Drosophila melanogaster: one gene and its partners. The protein of the gene in region 4 interacts with the protein of the main gene of each other region in a pairwise test. Each region holds a gene or a part of one and is shown on either strand. Other genes may lie near its edges.

Region 1 (3,706 bases), on a different chromosome or scaffold from region 4:
CTTATTGGTCATTTGTTTCTCTCAGTGTGAGCTGCAAATCATCCGGATAGGGGTCAAGGAACCGGGTGGGGCTATAGGACACGCCGGCTACCAATTCCAGTTTTAGTTATTTAGGTTGTTGCCTTTGCCGTTGTTTATGCTGCTATTAAATTTAATTGAAATCAAAATTCGGCCCACATTTATGAAGAGTTTATGCTGCACATATGTGGAATGTGATCGGTGGGTCGGGGGGCCAAAAGGTTGAGGTAGGACAGGGTCCGAGTGAACGTGTTCCGTGAGTCCAGGAGTTGGGCAGCTAAAGGGTTCAGTTCAGCCGGATCTTGAACTTTAGGTGTCGCGAGTTTAGTTATGATTATATTCAAATAAAGATACAAATGTTAAAACTAGAAATTATAAAGAAATTTGTTGATTGAAGAATAATTTTAGAAAGAATACTTAGAAAGAATATATTTCGAACAAATATTGTGTTACCAAAATGAATTTGCTAAAAATTTCTTTATATTATCCCATTACCACTTCAAAAGAAACGTTGCAGACTGATTGACAATTTTTTAATTTAAATTCGAAATTCTTAAATAATGAACCAAATCGTGCGAATTCAGCTGCCATTCAATAGTAAAATCCGGGGGTGTAGTACCTGGGAATGGTGTAGCCGTAGACCGGAGCAGGAACCACGACATGGTGGCTGCGAGCCACAGCAACTGGAATCTTGGCCAGCACCTGGTTGCGCACGCCTTCATCGTGGACGCGTTGAAGATGAAGCGACTTGGCCGCAGCCACTTCTGCGGTATCAGAAACGGGATGAGGCAATTGGGAGTGGCCACCATGGGATCCGGATGGGTCTGAGCCAGAAACCGGGTGCTCGTGGTGTTCGATAGAATGGGGCACCTCTGGATGAGCACTTCGACCGCTCTCAACGACAGTGTGATGATGAGGAACCTCAACGGGATGGTTGCCAACAGGATGCTGAGCTACAGCAACGGGGTGCTCATGGTGCTCGACGGGATGATGTCCATCTGGATGAGCACTTCGGCCGGTTTCGACAACAGTGTGATGATGTGGAACTTCCACGGGATGATGGCCAACAGGATGCTGAGCTACAGCAACGCGGTGCTCGTGGTGCTCGACGGGATGATGTCCATCTGGATGAGCACTTCGTCCGCTTTCAACAACAGTGTGATGATGTGGAACTTCAATGGGATGGTGGCCAACAGGATGCTGAACTACAGCATGCGACACCTCCGCGTGATGCTCAACATGGTGGTCTACTGGATGCGACGCGCTCCTGGGACTAAATTCTAGCGACTCCTGGGGAACTTTAGCCTTTGGCAGATTAGTGGCTGCCACATGGAAACCTTTGTTGTCGGCCACATAGTTAACCGTTTGCAGCTTTCCCGCCGCATCCCGGTAACTATAGTATCCTTGGGTGATTCCGTCTAGGGTGCGGGTCTCCTGTTTGCTGGACAATGGTTCCGAATAGCCATAGGAGTACTGACCCAACTCATCCTTGGCGATATACTGGCGCTGGGTGGGCGTGAACACGGCGGATCCCTCGGCAGTGTACGCATAGGGATAGTACAAGGCCAGTCCGTGGGCCAAGCTGAGGCTTCCTAACAGCAGAAGTGGATACTTCATGGTTGGGCAGTGGAAGATTGCTTCGAGTGAGTCTTGTTCGTCAGTTCACTGGTAACTGTTGATTCTGAGCCTAGGTCTTCATCCTTTTATACCCAGCAGGTTCTTTCGCGAGTTCTAGGTTCTGGTTCTGGCTGAGGTTCCTGCCGGTCAGATGCTTCTATTCTGATACACTGCGAAAAAATTCTAAAAGTATGCCATATTATTATCTAAGAGAGTATACAAATGTTTTATGCTCTTTTACCCTAATATAGTAACGTGATTTTTATGACTTAAATTAAATCCAAAAATAAGTAGTTCGTAATTTGTTTAATAATGATTTGTACAAAGCTTAAAACATAAATTTAAATGCATATAAATAATAATATTGCTAAAAAAGACTGTTCTTAAATTCCTGAAATTTTAATTTTATGATTATGACAATCATTAAAAAAATATTTTATTATTGATAAAAAAGGTGGTTTATTGTACTTAAATAGAATTCATCAAATTTGTACAAGCACACGTATTTCATTAAAGAATAACCTAATAGTAATAATATCTGTCACATTTTAAAATAGTAAACAGCCAATTAATTTTTTCTCCAAATGTATCCATCAGATGCACTTCAATGCAAACGAGGAGATGCGAATGCGTCGTCGTGTCCACTTGTGTCGTTAACGGACATTGCAGCTCCGCCTTTCACTCCCCTTTTGGGGATCGACGCCTCGTGAAGGCGTTGTCAATTTGGTTTAATTGTGGCCAAGGCTGGAGTGGGCCCAAATGAGGGAGGCAGACCCTGGTTCTCCGCAGCGGGAGGAGCAATCGCTGCCTGGCATCTCCATCTGCATCTGCATCTGGATCTGCAAGCGAGCCAAGGGCCTTGGCTGGGTGGACCATCAAGGCCAAAGACCGCATCCAGACCAGCGTGTAATTGATATGCAATCGTTGTTGCTGCCACAGCATTGTGGCATCTCAGCCTCCTTTTTGTTCGCACACTGCAACGGGGCCACGACAACAACAGCAACTTCAACTGCAACAGCAAATGCAACAACTGTGGCAACAACCGACGACGACAACAACGGCATCTCAAGGTGAGTGAAGGCCAAGGGCCACATTTGGCCACAGCTTGGACACGGGAGTCATGCACTCCAGTGGCGAACAAAATGGGGGTCTTAGGGGGGTCATAAGTACCCTTAAAAATTATAATACTTGGTTAGATACATATGTATGTACATAAGAAATATATGTTTTATGCGAAGAGCTTACAAATATGACACAGAAAAGGGTTAATTAAATCGTTAAGTCCGCTAAATAAATAATATAATGTGAATTTTTAGACACCTTATAGTATACACTGAAGATATATACTTATTTCAACCGGACACTAAGAAAACCCCCTAAGAATATGTTTCCCATCCGCCTCTGATGCACTGCAGCTGCATTGGTATCTCCTGTTCCTCCTTCGCTGGTCATTTTTATTTTTAGCAGCGGGCTTATCGGATGCCTCAGATCTCTGGTGCTTAAACTTCGCTCCCGATTAGGAGGAGGAGGAGGAGCAACTGCAAGAACCACATTGGATTGGCCTTGACGGCTCGGCTGATAAGTGCGTTTTAATGTTAGCCCCGTTGGCACTCAGTTTCAATCAAAGCCCAATTCTCTACAACCATTCCAGCCTGGCTTAATGAGCTGGTTAGTTCTGGCCTGGAATTGAAGTTGGATTGGCAATATAGTCCGGTCCACTTGGTTCACTCCCTTTGTTCTGTCTCGAGTGGACTGTGCCCTGATTTGTGTACCACCATTGGTTCTTTGAACTGCCTTCGTGGCTAATTAAAGGTGCACTTAAGATAGGCCAGGTGGCAAGAATCATGTTTTTCATTTTTCAGGACTGGGAGTACTTTGATTTTATGTCCTAGAAAAAAAGAGCAAACGAATCAGTCTAAAAGGTATTTCAGCTGTAAAACATTCCATAAATATAGGAAATTTAACTCTTTCTAATTTTAATTAAAGAATATTCTAAACGTCATCTGGTCAATAAACTAAATGAATATTGTAGAATGAAATATTTAAATTACATATCAAACATTGTATATTA
Region 2 (4,535 bases), on a different chromosome or scaffold from region 4:
CGTCCATTAATTAGGTCGTTAGTAGGCCGCTCCGCTCGCCGCCTTACGTCACTGTAGTCAATTGTATACAAACAGTGAATGTACAGGCAAGTCTCCCTAAATCGAACCGCACTTCCCAATTCAATATGTCCAACACGATGTTTGAATTAATTAATATTCCCGTAATGTGCAAAGTTCCATGGGCTTAACTCCTTAGCAAAAACTTCATTGTATCGTACCATATGTGTATTAACAGATCCGCTGCTGCTCCGGCGCTTCTACCAGTGCATGTTTGGAGACGTGGAGGAGACTCGGAAGCTCATCGAGGTGAACTACGCCCTGCGCAACCGGCACCCTCACCTGTTTATCAAGAGGGATCCTCTAGACGCGGACAGCAAGCGCACCTTTGACTACGCGTAAGTGTGTCCTTATTGGGAGAAAAGATTCCCTTTCCTTTGAGGCAGGGCCATGTTCCAAAAACATACATACCCGTATACCCCAACACTCGAATTTCAGAGACATTCTACCGCTGCCTGGCCTAACGCCGGACAAATGCAAGGTGTCGCTGTACTGCTTTCGGGAGTTCGAGGCCTCCAAGGTGAGTAATAGCTTCTCTTTGCTGTAGGAACTTGCGCTCCATACCGCCGATTGCTATCCCCAGATGCACCACACGGAGGACACGCGCGCCTTCTTTATGGTCAGCGACTGCCGGTTCGTGACGCCGGACGATCTCGCCAAACCGGATGTCCTGTCCGAAGGAGAGGTGCAGATATTCGACATGAAGGGCACCACAATGCGGCACATTTCGCGGCTGACGATCAGCACGCTGCGCGCCTACATCAAGTTCCTCCAGCTGGCATTTCCGGTGCGCCTGCGCGCCATTCACATGATTAACTGTCCAACTTACCTGGATCGGATCGTCAGCGTGGTGAAGCCGTTCATCAGCGACGAGGTCTTCAAGCTGGTGGGTTTCTTGAGAAGCCATTATGTCTCTAATAGCTTCATCTCACCATTACTTTCTACACTTTAGATCCGTTTCCACACGCAAAGCATAAATACGCTGTACGAGTTCGTGCCGCGGGAGATGCTGCCGGAGGAGTACGGCGGAGGAGCCGGGTCCTTAGAAGCACTGCGGACCCATACCCAAAAGGCCTTGGTTGAGCATCGGTGGGTTTCGATCTGCATGTTATAGTTATTCAGTAACGCCTCGTTGCCTTTTGTAGCGACTATCTGATGGACCCCGATCACTGGGTGGTGGTGAAGCCGGAGAAGCGGAACGAGAGTTCGTGGAGATTTTTCAAATGATTACCTAGAACATCTTCCACGGTAGCAAGGAGTCTCCTTCAACTGAAGACGGTTAAAAGTGTTTCAAGTGTATTGGGATAAACAGTTCCTGTGGCTTTTCATCTCTTAAATATCCATTTTTTTTTTAAATTTGTGTTGAAATTGCTCAAAAATAAATAAGTAAAAAATGCGTTATCCGTTTTATTTTTAACCCAACAATGTACAATTATTATACTAGTATATATTTATGGAAATACAACAAAAAAAGGGATTTAATTGAAACACACATTCAAAAGTAGAATGCGCAAAAGGCCAGTGGAGACAAAAAGCGATTATCGATAGCGAACTATCGAAATATGCCTATCGTTATCGCACGACGTTGTTAGTGGCATTATTTATTTTGTTGCGATTTAGCGTTTTTCCAACATAACATTGCTAAGTGAGGGACCCCGAATCGCACAGCATGGAGCGGCCACAGAAGATGCCCAAGGTGGCCAAGGTATGTGCCATCGTCGGCAATCCACCAAACCAACTTATCCAATCCAAAATTTCACCAGGTCAAAAACAAAGCGCCGGCGGAGGTGCAAATTACGGCGGAGCAGTTGCTCCGTGAGGCCAAGGAGCGAGATCTGGAGATTCTGCCGCCGCCGCCAAAGCAGAAGATCTCCGATCCCGCCGAGTTGGCAGACTATCAGCAGCGGAAGCGAAAGACCTTCGAGGACAATCTCCGCAAGAACCGCATGGTAGTCAGCCATTGGATCAAATATGCTCAGTGGGAGGAGCAGCAGCAGGAGATCCAGCGGGCGCGCTCTATCTGGGAGCGGGCGTTGGACAATGAGCACCGGAACGTGACCCTCTGGCTGAAATACGCCGAGATGGAGATGAAGAACAAGCAGGTGAATCATGCTCGCAATCTGTGGGATCGGGCAGTGACCATCATGCCGCGAGTCAACCAGTTCTGGTACAAGTACACCTACATGGAGGAGATGCTGGAGAATGTGGCAGGGGCGCGACAGGTGTTCGAGCGCTGGATGGAGTGGCAACCGGAGGAGCAGGCCTGGCAGACCTACGTCAACTTCGAGCTGCGCTACAAGGAGATCGACCGGGCACGGGAGATCTACGAGCGATTTGTCTATGTGCACCCGGACGTGAAGAACTGGATAAAGTTCGCCCGCTTTGAGGAGTCTCATGGGTTTATCCACGGCTCTCGGCGGGTATTTGAGCGCGCTGTGGAGTTCTTTGGTGACGACTACATCGAGGAGCGCCTGTTCATCGCCTTTGCACGTTTCGAGGAGGGTCAAAAGGAGCACGACAGGGCGCGCATCATCTACAAGTACGCTTTAGATCACCTACCTAAAGATCGCACACAGGAGCTGTTCAAGGCCTATACGAAACACGAGAAAAAGTACGGCGACAGAGCGGGTATTGAGGATGTGATTGTTTCCAAGCGCAAGTACCAGTACGAGCAGGAGGTGGCCGCCAATCCCACCAACTACGATGCCTGGTTCGACTATTTGCGCTTGATTGAGGCTGAGGGCGATCGGGATCAGATCCGTGAGACGTACGAACGGGCCATTTCCAACGTGCCGCCTGCCAATGAAAAGAACTTCTGGCGACGCTACATTTACCTTTGGATCAATTATGCTTTGTACGAGGAGCTTGAAGCGGAGGACGCGGAACGCACGCGGCAGATCTACAAGACCTGTCTGGAGCTAATACCTCACAAGCAGTTCACCTTCAGCAAGCTTTGGCTGCTGTACGCCCAATTCGAGATCCGCTGCAAGGAGCTGCAGCGAGCACGCAAAGCTCTGGGCTTGGCCATCGGCATGTGTCCCAGAGATAAGCTCTTCAGAGGCTATATTGATCTGGAGATTCAGTTGCGTGAGTTCGAGCGCTGCCGCATGCTGTACGAGAAGTTCCTGGAGTTTGGACCGGAGAATTGTGTCACTTGGATGAAGTTTGCCGAGCTGGAGAATCTGTTGGGCGACACGGACCGGGCGAGAGCCATTTTCGAGCTGGCGGTGCAGCAGCCGCGCCTGGACATGCCAGAGCTGCTGTGGAAGGCGTACATCGACTTCGAGGTAGCCCTAGGCGAAACAGAGCTAGCCAGACAGCTTTACGAGCGACTCCTTGAGCGGACGCAGCATGTGAAAGTGTGGATGTCGTTTGCCAAGTTCGAGATGGGCCTCAGCCACGGCGACAGCGGGCCAGATGCGGAGCTGAACGTGCAGCTGGCAAGGAGAATCTATGAGCGAGCCAACGAGATGTTGCGTCAGCTGGGAGACAAGGAGTCGCGTGTTCTGTTGCTAGAGGCATGGCGCGACTTTGAACGCGACGCCTCCGATTCGCAGGAGATGCAAAAGGTAATGGACAAGATGCCGCGGCGCATCAAGAAGCGGCAAAAGATCGTCTCGGACAATGGCGTCGAGGAAGGTTGGGAGGAGGTATTCGACTACATCTTTCCCGAGGACGAAATGGCTCGACCCAATCTCAAGTTGCTGGCTGCAGCTAAGATGTGGAAGACACAAAAAGACAACACGGTGGACGACCCGCCCGCTACAGCTATTGCATCTGAGCCAGAACCTGCAGCTGATGCTGCCCCAGCGGATACGACGGATAGCGGTGACTGATTCACTTCCGCCTAAAAATCGTTGCTTTTGAACAAAGCTAAATATCTGAAATTGCAGATTTTTCGCTTTATTTTTGGATACCTTAGTAATAAACCACTTAAATAAAAAACTATAATGATCTTTTTTTTTGTTATATTATCTGATATATTTTTCTGCTATTGTGCTTTAAAATTTTTCTCCCCAAAAAGAGATTATAAAGTTCTTACTTGGCCCTCAGCAAGAGTGTGAAAACAGAGTATGTGAACCTCATGACCTGGAATCAAGTGAATCATATCATATTTGAATCAAATCAAAGGACATTTGAATATATAATTGTGCCTTGCCTGCTCGAAGGTCTCCAGCGAGAGTGCGATGTAGTTGCCTGCGTAGATAAGAGAAGGCCGCTGCGTCCTGGCCAGGGTGAAGAGCAGTTCGCGCTTGAACTTGGGCAGCTGTTCTATCCAGTTGCAATCGTAGAAGGCATCGCACAGCGCCTCGCTCTGTGTCCGCATCCTGTCCCCAAAATAGCAGATTACAAACACCTCCAAGGTGACGGCCGAGAAAAATACAATCGAGATGATCATGGCGGTGTGGTCGTGGTCATCCGCTACGTACAGGAAGTGCATGGCGACGGTACACTGGACGGCGGCGGAGCAGACGAAC
Region 3 (3,854 bases), on a different chromosome or scaffold from region 4:
TTTGTCTCCCGGAGGAACCCCAAATGAGGCAGCCAAACTTAATAAATTATATGCAAAACTGCCGCTGGGGAAATGGCAAACCAACAAAGTGTCCAAATGGCAGCGGGAAAGCCAACTTGCAGCAGGGGAAAACAAATGTTGGGCGTTCGAGGAACTCCGTTTTTGAATATTTATGAAAGGACAGTGTGATCCTCTGAGCTGGATACCAGCCGGATCCTGTAGGCCGCACATGCCGTTATGGCCAATTGCGGTCCTTGACTCCTTTGCAAATTTCCTAGGGCCAGAAACCTGATCATCAAGTTGGTAACCAACGCTAGGGTCATGCCAAACGTGTCTTTGCTAAAATGGAATGGTTAATCTGGTCAAGTCTTAAATACCAATGTATCACTATGAGGACTGCTATACCTTTATATTACATATTTTTCAAATAAAATTCAAGTTCTTATGGAACTTATTCAAACATTTGTTCTCAAGCTTTACTTTAGCCTGATCGCAAGCTATTCCAAGTTTGGAAAAAAATTTTGTGCACTCAGCCACTTGATCCTAACCACAGAGACCGACGGACAGTAAGAAAAATGGCGAGGTTGCAGTGCGATGATGGAAAGGATGTGGCGGTGGGGCAGGAAAAGGAGCTGATGGGTATGGATACTTTGAATGCGGGCAAGAGAGAGATGTTCATCGGAACGCATGTTCTTTGAAAATTGCCCATAATTATGCGAACGAACTTCAAACTGATTGTTTCTACCGGCAGCAGCGCAGTCCGAGAAACGAGAATCCAGAGCCGAGGATCGGAACCCATCTCCATCCCATAGCTCCATGGACCATGGACCACGCTGTCCGAAAAACGCGCGTCCGTTGCATGCAACGTGGCAGGGATGGGATGGAATGGGATGGGATGGGATCGAGATCGGGACATGGCCAAGGGTATGGCTGTGTGGAATAGCCCGCTTGGCTGCAGTGAAAGAGAATGACTGTAATTACGCATCACTTTTTCTTAATTTTCATGCTGTGCATCTTGCGGCCCTTCCTCCTCGCAAACGGAGCGGATTGGAGTGGTGGTGAACAACGAGGACGAGGGCCGGAAGGGGTCCTCCATCTTCTCGCTGGGAACAATTTAAGCACTGAACTTGACCCACAAGTCGAGTCTGCTGCTTTTTGTGCGGCAGAGTTTTAGAAAATTGCTCGTTTCGTTGCGTGCATATTTCCCAAAATGCGAGCGGCTTGAAATCATTTTGCGTGTTGTTTTGTCCGCTGTCTGTTTTCTGCTTGTTCCTCCAATGAGAAATCTAATTTAAAAGATACAAATTTTAAATTATGGGGTTTTCTTGGCTACCAAAAATGTTTCGATGTTTTTTCTTCGCTTTACCTTCCTCTTCTTCACATATGATTGCTTCTACGTGCCGAAGACTCGCATTTTGGCATTTTGGATGCGATGGCAGATACGCAATTTCGTTGCGGAAATGCCGAATGTCAAGAGTGGTTGCATAACAGCTTCAAACACAGAAAGGCTAGGAATAATAAGGGTCTCATGACAGAGGGGTATTTTTTACACACAGTATTTATTGGTAACCAGATTCAAATTGAAAACATTCGCGCGCCTTTTTTGCACCCACTCGCGGTATCGATATATCGGTTTGCACACATCACTACTGTGCTAAGGTAAACAACATATAAAATATACATTATATCGAGGTTTGAAAATTCCTTTACTTATTTTGTTACACAATGAAGATTATTCAGTATTTATTTGATTTATTTTAAGTTCTACGTTATGATCTTTGTTCTACCAGTAATAAAATACATTTTACATCGTAATTACGGCAGAAGAACTTAGTACCTTTTCCAGCACTGCAGCCAGAGTTGGTTTCTTAATGGAGTCCGATAGGTTCAATAACACATCCATACATCGATAACAATTTTATTTTTTGTTTTGCTAATGTGATTTACAAAATAGTTGTTTTAATTGAGAATTGTCGGCAGATTATGGAGTTTGATTTGTAAATAGCATGATTTTGATGTAACTTCTGACATGGACACCGCCGGAGACATGGATCACCTGGCCAGTGTGTCCTTCGGCGACTTTGAGACAAAATCCCCAGAGGGCGACGTATCCTGCTATCAGAACTTTCGGGCACAGACGGAACATGTTTCGCTAGACATTTCTCTCGGGCAGAAGTCAGACACTCTATTTGCCGCCGACCAAACGCCCACGCCTACGCGACTCATCAAGAACTGCGACGAGGTGGGTCTCTTCGAGGACCTGCAGCACGTAAATCCATTTGACATTGGATTCCAGCAAGCAGCGGAGCGAAATGTCAGCGGCACTCCGAGTCGCCCAGAGGCTCGACCCAATGACGGTGAGTCCCTGCACACGCCCCAGGTGTATCCCGTCGAGGCCCCCACCGTGGTATCAGTTCCGTCTGAAAATCAGGTCCCACAAAGTGTCAGCTGCGGCGATATGGATGTGGACCAGCTTCTGGCCACGACAGTTACCTCGCCTTCCAAAGCCAGTCAAGATGGTCCGCCGCCGCTGCAGTTGATCCAGCCCCAGGTCCTAACATGGGTGCTGCCTGCGCAGTCAGTTCCCATTTCCATCGCTACAGTTGATTGTAACAGAAACAGGGTGAAGCCGACTGGTGCCATTCATCCCTTCATACTGCCGAAACCCACTGCGAAAGAATTAAACAAGACCAGTAAAAGACCCGAGCCTATTTTGGTCAGTTGCAACCCACCTAATAACGAGCCCAGTAGCGCCAGTCTGACGCCCACCTCACAGCTGCCCATCAAGGAGCGATTGAAGGCCATTATCCACAGCAATAATAACAGACGAAGTTTCTCCACACCGCCCAAGGCTGCGAAAGCAAAGGATCGCAGTCGGGACGAGGATTGTATGGAGCGACGAAGAGCAGCAGCCTCTCGTTACCGTAACAAGATGCGAAACGAGCATAAGGACCTCATCAAACAGAACGCCCAGCTGCAGCAGGAGAATCAAGAACTGCACGAAAGAATTTCCAGATTAGAAAAGGAACTGCAGCAGCACAGGAGTCACAGCAGCTTAGCTGGCGGTAAGCTTTAATAAACCATTCCTGAAGTTAAGTTAATTTATTTTCGTTTATAGTGGTGGCCGACCAGCTGCGGATTCCACCATCCAGTATACACTTGCTCATCAATGTGCCCAACGTGTTAGTGCCTTCGTCCGCCAGCAACGCAAGCGCGGCCAAGAAATAACCAATATGCCTTGTTTATTTATTTTCTAGTGCCATGTACATAATCCTAGCCTTGTAGTTTATTCGTACAAAAAAGCCTCAGTTAAGTTAAATTCCTTCTGTACTCCAATGTTTTGTCTGTGGTTATGATTTCCGTAAACTCTCTCTGTATCTCAAAAATGGAATTCTCGATATCCACCAGCTGGGGACTAAATTGCACAGATGATGTTGCTGGAGTTCGCAGCTGTTCCATGGTCATCTGTTCGGAAGAAAGTAGACTTAGGAGATCACAGAATACAATCTAAAATCTTTTATCACATACATCACGCAAGTTTTTCTGCAGCTGATCACGCTGATAGCAAAGTTTCTGGATTTTGTCGTAATACTTCTGTGCCAGTGGAGCACCCTCCGTATCCGAGTAGTAGCGCTGGGCAAGGAGCTCCATCTCCTGGTTACGAATTTCATCTTCGGCCAGCTGCATTTCTTGGTTGTGACGCCGACGCTCACGCTCAATACTGTGCATCAGCAGGTCCATGTCCTTCTCCATCTCCAGAATTTTGCGTCGCTGCTCAGACTCCTGTAACTTAGTGATGACCTCGCTCTTGCGCCGACGCACCTCCATTTGGTAGGTGAGCAGCATTTTCCGTT
Region 4 (4,304 bases):
GTCGCGGGTAGCCGGAAACTTTCTTTTGTATGTTGGAAATGTCTTGGACCTGGTGGCAGTGTCTTATTTTCCACACACCCCTAGTGGGAGTTATTAACCCTTAACCACACGTTACCATTTATAACCCGAACAAAGTGAACCGAGCGCGTTAAGCTGACAATGGCAACAAATTTTTTTCCTTTTGCCGTCTATTGTGCCCGGAAAATCTGGTGGCAGCCACCATTCAATTGTGGTTCTTTTCCTCTTTGTCTGCGGTTTATGGCTTTTAATTCGTTCTGAGCCTCGATTCTTAAGGGTGCCCAAGTGAATTTCGCACTGACATCAACGGATATTGTGTGATAATTGCCACAAGAAAAATATTCGACATTTTTAGAGCGTACATTTCGTTTGCATTTAAATGGGAAAATTAATTAATCATTTCAGATTTGTATTCATTTAAAACACTTCAATTGAGCAATATGAAAATTAACCGATCGAAAATGTATATTTTAAGTATCTTAAGTGGCTGATAAGTGCTGATAGATAGATACATATAAGTACTTTTGAGGTAGGTAGATTGATTACACATTTCTAGATGATAGCCGTATAAAAAAAAGGTATTAGATAGTTGGAGTGGGCAATTCGATTAATTTCTGATAAGACGTAGTTTTCAGCGGGTATATAAACTGATCTTCACTACTGGCCGAGAAAATATTATTAATTGGACAGTAAAATGAAAGCCATCACCGTTTGCCTTTTGGTTCTGGTTTCGGCCACCTGTCTGCTGACCACGCGGGTAAGATTTGCCAATTAAAAAAAAATTAACTTAAATATAATAAATATTTCTTTGTTTCAGGCCAATGCAATAGAATTGCTGGAGAACGAGAACTTCGACTATGATTTCGACTTTGAATCGGAATTGGAGCAGTTGCTGGATGAACTGGACAATGACACTGACTACATGGATGTGGAGGCACAGGGCTTTATTAGAACATGCCTTAAAATCCTTCGCAAGGCATTGAAAACGGTTCGAGGCACCAACTGTATTATCAAGGAGGTGACAAACATCCTTAGTTCATGCACCAGCTATGTGGATGCTATTGATGCCTGTGGCACTGCCATTCCCAAGGATGTGGCCAAGATTGTGGACTCCGTTAAGGAGATTATCAAAATCTGCGACGATATTTTGCATCTGCATTCGAAACTTTGTGCCACGGATAAGTCCGTGGGCTCGTCCATCAAAAACTCGGCCAAATGCTTCTGGAAATTGTTCAAGGCATCCATGAGGCTGACCCGAAAGATCAATAAAACCCTAAAACTGATTGCCAAATTGCCAGCCGATACCAGTTCCTGCTTCGTAAATGCCACCAATAAAGTTACAGCGTCCTTTAACTCTTTTCTGCCCAACATTGATGTCTGCATCGAGTCTATGTAAATATATTATTATTAAAAAATAAAAAACTCTTAAGCTTACAGCAGATTAGATTTCAATTCTCGAGCCTTTGTTCCCAACAACCTATGAACAATAATATAGTGATTTGATTGAAAATAAATTTTGTTTCATTATGATAAGATAACTTCAATTTCCAACTATGAGCCGAACTGAAGCGATTCGATTAAGATTCGTTAATAAATACAATCGGTATCTAGAGAGGGTTCTTGAACAGCTTTATACTGATATGGAAAATTAATTGTAATTAATTATAAATTGCAATTAAAGGGATTTAACTTACGTCTCTGAATTTATAATAATTTAGCATTTTTTAGCATTTAGCAAAAACAGATGTTAAGGTAACACTGAAAGAGCACTGTCAGAGTTGAAAATGTTCGTCATAAATTTAGAAATTATTTAGTTCGATTCGGGCACGACAGCACGAAACATGTCCCAGATAAACAATATATTCATTAAGCTGCGAGCTCGTCTGCGGGAGCGTGATATCAAGTTGTGGGAGGAGCCGTACTACTTCGAGGAGGTGGGCAGCATCGAGTCGGAGATGGACCGCCTGGCCAGGGACATCAGTGGCGAACTGGGCATCAGTGTGTCGGACTGCAGAATTGCCTTGGGCGAATTGCAAGATGGTGCCTTGCGGAAGCTGGCGGCTCGCCGAGAGTTCAATGACACCGGATTGGCCACGTTCAATGTGCGGTGTGTGGACAGCAAGGGTGGCACCGTGCAAATGCTGGAGATCAAGTGTTCGCTGGGTGGACTGGGCTCGGATCTGCAAGCTGAGGTGGCCAAGAAGTTGGATATCGTTGATTCCAGTCATGTGAAATGCATCTCCGGAGGACGCATCATCAATGGGCAGAAGACACTGGCCTCGCAGGGGCTCAAAACCAATCAGCACCTCATGGTGGTTGTGGGTGGAACTAATGAAGGTCAGGAGTTGCACGAACGTATCCAAAGGATTCGTGCGGACTTGGAGTTAGTTGCGGATGCAGATCGCTTTATGGAAATGGAGGATCAGGATGGACGTCCAATTTTCTTGCCACGCGAGGAAAATCGATCCCTATTGATGGCCATGAGCATGTACGAAGTGGCCAGAGTTGCCATGCATAAGGAGAACTTCGATGAGGCTCTACTCATCCTACTCGAGGCCGATGAACTCTTCTCCCAATGTGACTCAAAGCTCCTGGAAGGAGTGGATAACTATGCCTTAATCAATCTAGATATTGTTTGGTGCTATCTGCGCCTGAAGAACATCACCCAACTGCCAGATGCACAGCGACGTTTGGATATTTGCGAGAGGGGCTTTGTCAAGAGCTATGGCGAGCAGTTCATTCGATTGTTCTCGATTAAGGGTCCAAGTAGCCCGGAAAGAGCTTTGATCATGAGACTGCACCTGCTCCAAGGTGTGCTCCTCTTTCACCAAAATCGCCGGGATGAGGCCTACGAAAAACTGGAGGTGGCGACAAAGGACTTGTATGAGGTCAAGATGAATGACACTGAGCTAAGCACTCTCGTTGAAATGGGCTATGAGGAATCGGATGCCAGGTTGGCCTTGAGATCCTGTGCGGGCCAAGTGGATAGGGCCATTCAATATATCCAGGAACGCAGCGAGAGAATCAGTGAGGAGCGAAAGAACTCGGCTGCCGAGAGGCAAGTCAACCAAGAGATGATTTTCGCCGGTCAAGGAGGAGAATGGGTCAATCCACGCAGCATTATTAGGCTCATGGAAATGGGCTACGAAAGGCGTTTGGTTGTGGAGGCTCTGAAGAGGACCAAAAATAATCTCGATCGCAGTTTGGATCTACTGCAGCGTCATTCAGATGAACTTAGGGCCAATCTGCCGCCCATTCCTCCTGTCGATGAATCGTTACTTACTACTCTACAGCACCTTGGATTTTCGGAGATTTCCGCTCGAGATGCTTTGGAAACTACGGGCAACAGTTTCCATAAATCTCTGAAATTTCTATTGAAAAGTTTCCCCAACGAATCGGAATTACTTCATGTTATTGAAACCATGACAAAAGTTTTGGAGGTTCAAGAACCTACGAGCTCAACTAATGCGACTGCAAATAGCACCACCCCACTCGTAAACTTATCCAACAGCAAGGTGAACTTGCTCCAGACTGTCCTTAGCGAGGCCAAGTCGGAGATTGAGTCTTACAATGCCTTCAAGAGATTCAACGAGAACCTCGCCGAGAACAACAACCACTACTTAAACTTGCCCTTGGATCAGGAGGAGCAAATTCTGATCGAGTATAAACGTTTGCTCGAGGGCTAATAAGAAAAAAATAAGATTTTTTTTAAATATTTGTAAATCAAAAAACAGGCAATAAATAAGTACGTACAAATATTTATTGTTGCTTTGTTATATTTTTAACATCTTTTCTCACCATGTTACCATTTCATTTCACAGCCATTCCACTATAGTCTGAATGGTACCTTTTTGTGGCCAAAATTAATAACATAACAGCTAGTCAATTAAATAAAAAAAAAATAAAAAAAATCCAGCTTATAGTGCGTCCCTTCAAAAACTCAAATACTTATTGCCCAGCAAAGTATGCTATGCATTTTGGTTGCTGATGTGGCTGCTGCTATTTGCTCACTCATGTGCATAACGTCACAGTTTTTCACAATTTTGTGTATGTGTGTGTGTGCGCGTGCTCTTTGCGTGTGGCTGACTTTGTGAAAATTAATAAGTTTTCAGACCCTCTCGCCAATCTGCCAATGCCATGCGAAAGTTCTGCAGATGATGGCCAAATAATTTGTCGTCCTGTTTTGTGGCGTTATTTCCAAATCGTTAAACCTAAAATAAACTCCGCTCAGCTTATTTCACTCTTCCATTTCTTTCTTCATTTCGTGTTTTTTTTTTTTCGGTTTA

Evidence for each region.
Region 1: the proteins of CG5111 (region 4) and Cpr72Ea interact in a two-hybrid assay, tested with the Drosophila melanogaster proteins (one large-scale study listed by BioGRID).
Region 2: the proteins of CG5111 (region 4) and crn interact in a two-hybrid assay, tested with the Drosophila melanogaster proteins (one large-scale study listed by BioGRID).
Region 3: the proteins of CG5111 (region 4) and Atf-2 interact in a two-hybrid assay, tested with the Drosophila melanogaster proteins (one large-scale study listed by BioGRID).

What each region holds. Positions count from the first base shown.
Region 1 is NT_037436.4:16,360,579-16,364,284, reverse strand, and holds Cpr72Ea (cuticular protein 72Ea), read right to left. Parts: upstream 1,683-3,706; 5' UTR 1,636-1,682; coding exon 610-1,635; 3' UTR 535-609; downstream 1-534.
Region 2 is NC_004354.4:2,247,055-2,251,589, reverse strand, and holds crn (crooked neck), read left to right. Parts: upstream 1-1,606; 5' UTR 1,607-1,726; coding exon 1,727-1,762; intron 1,763-1,820; coding exon 1,821-3,893; 3' UTR 3,894-3,996; downstream 3,997-4,535. Other genes in the region: CG3191 (uncharacterized protein), read left to right, coding at 236-395, 496-577, 641-943, 1,010-1,146, 1,203-1,284; Or2a (odorant receptor 2a), read right to left, coding at 4,096-4,146, 4,217-4,535. UniProt on the Drosophila melanogaster protein: May be involved in pre-mRNA splicing process. Involved in embryonic neurogenesis and cell rearrangement during Malpighian tubule morphogenesis.
Region 3 is NT_033778.4:24,868,181-24,872,034, forward strand, and holds Atf-2 (activating transcription factor-2), read left to right. Parts: upstream 1-1,927; 5' UTR 1,928-2,029; coding exon 2,030-3,065; intron 3,066-3,118; coding exon 3,119-3,228; 3' UTR 3,229-3,309; downstream 3,310-3,854. Other genes in the region: CG16896 (uncharacterized protein), read right to left, coding at 3,310-3,465, 3,529-3,854.
Region 4 is NT_033777.3:25,504,505-25,508,808, forward strand, and holds CG5111 (uncharacterized protein), read left to right. Parts: upstream 1-1,770; 5' UTR 1,771-1,859; coding exon 1,860-3,704; 3' UTR 3,705-3,775; downstream 3,776-4,304. Other genes in the region: CG5107 (uncharacterized protein), read left to right, coding at 713-775, 836-1,414.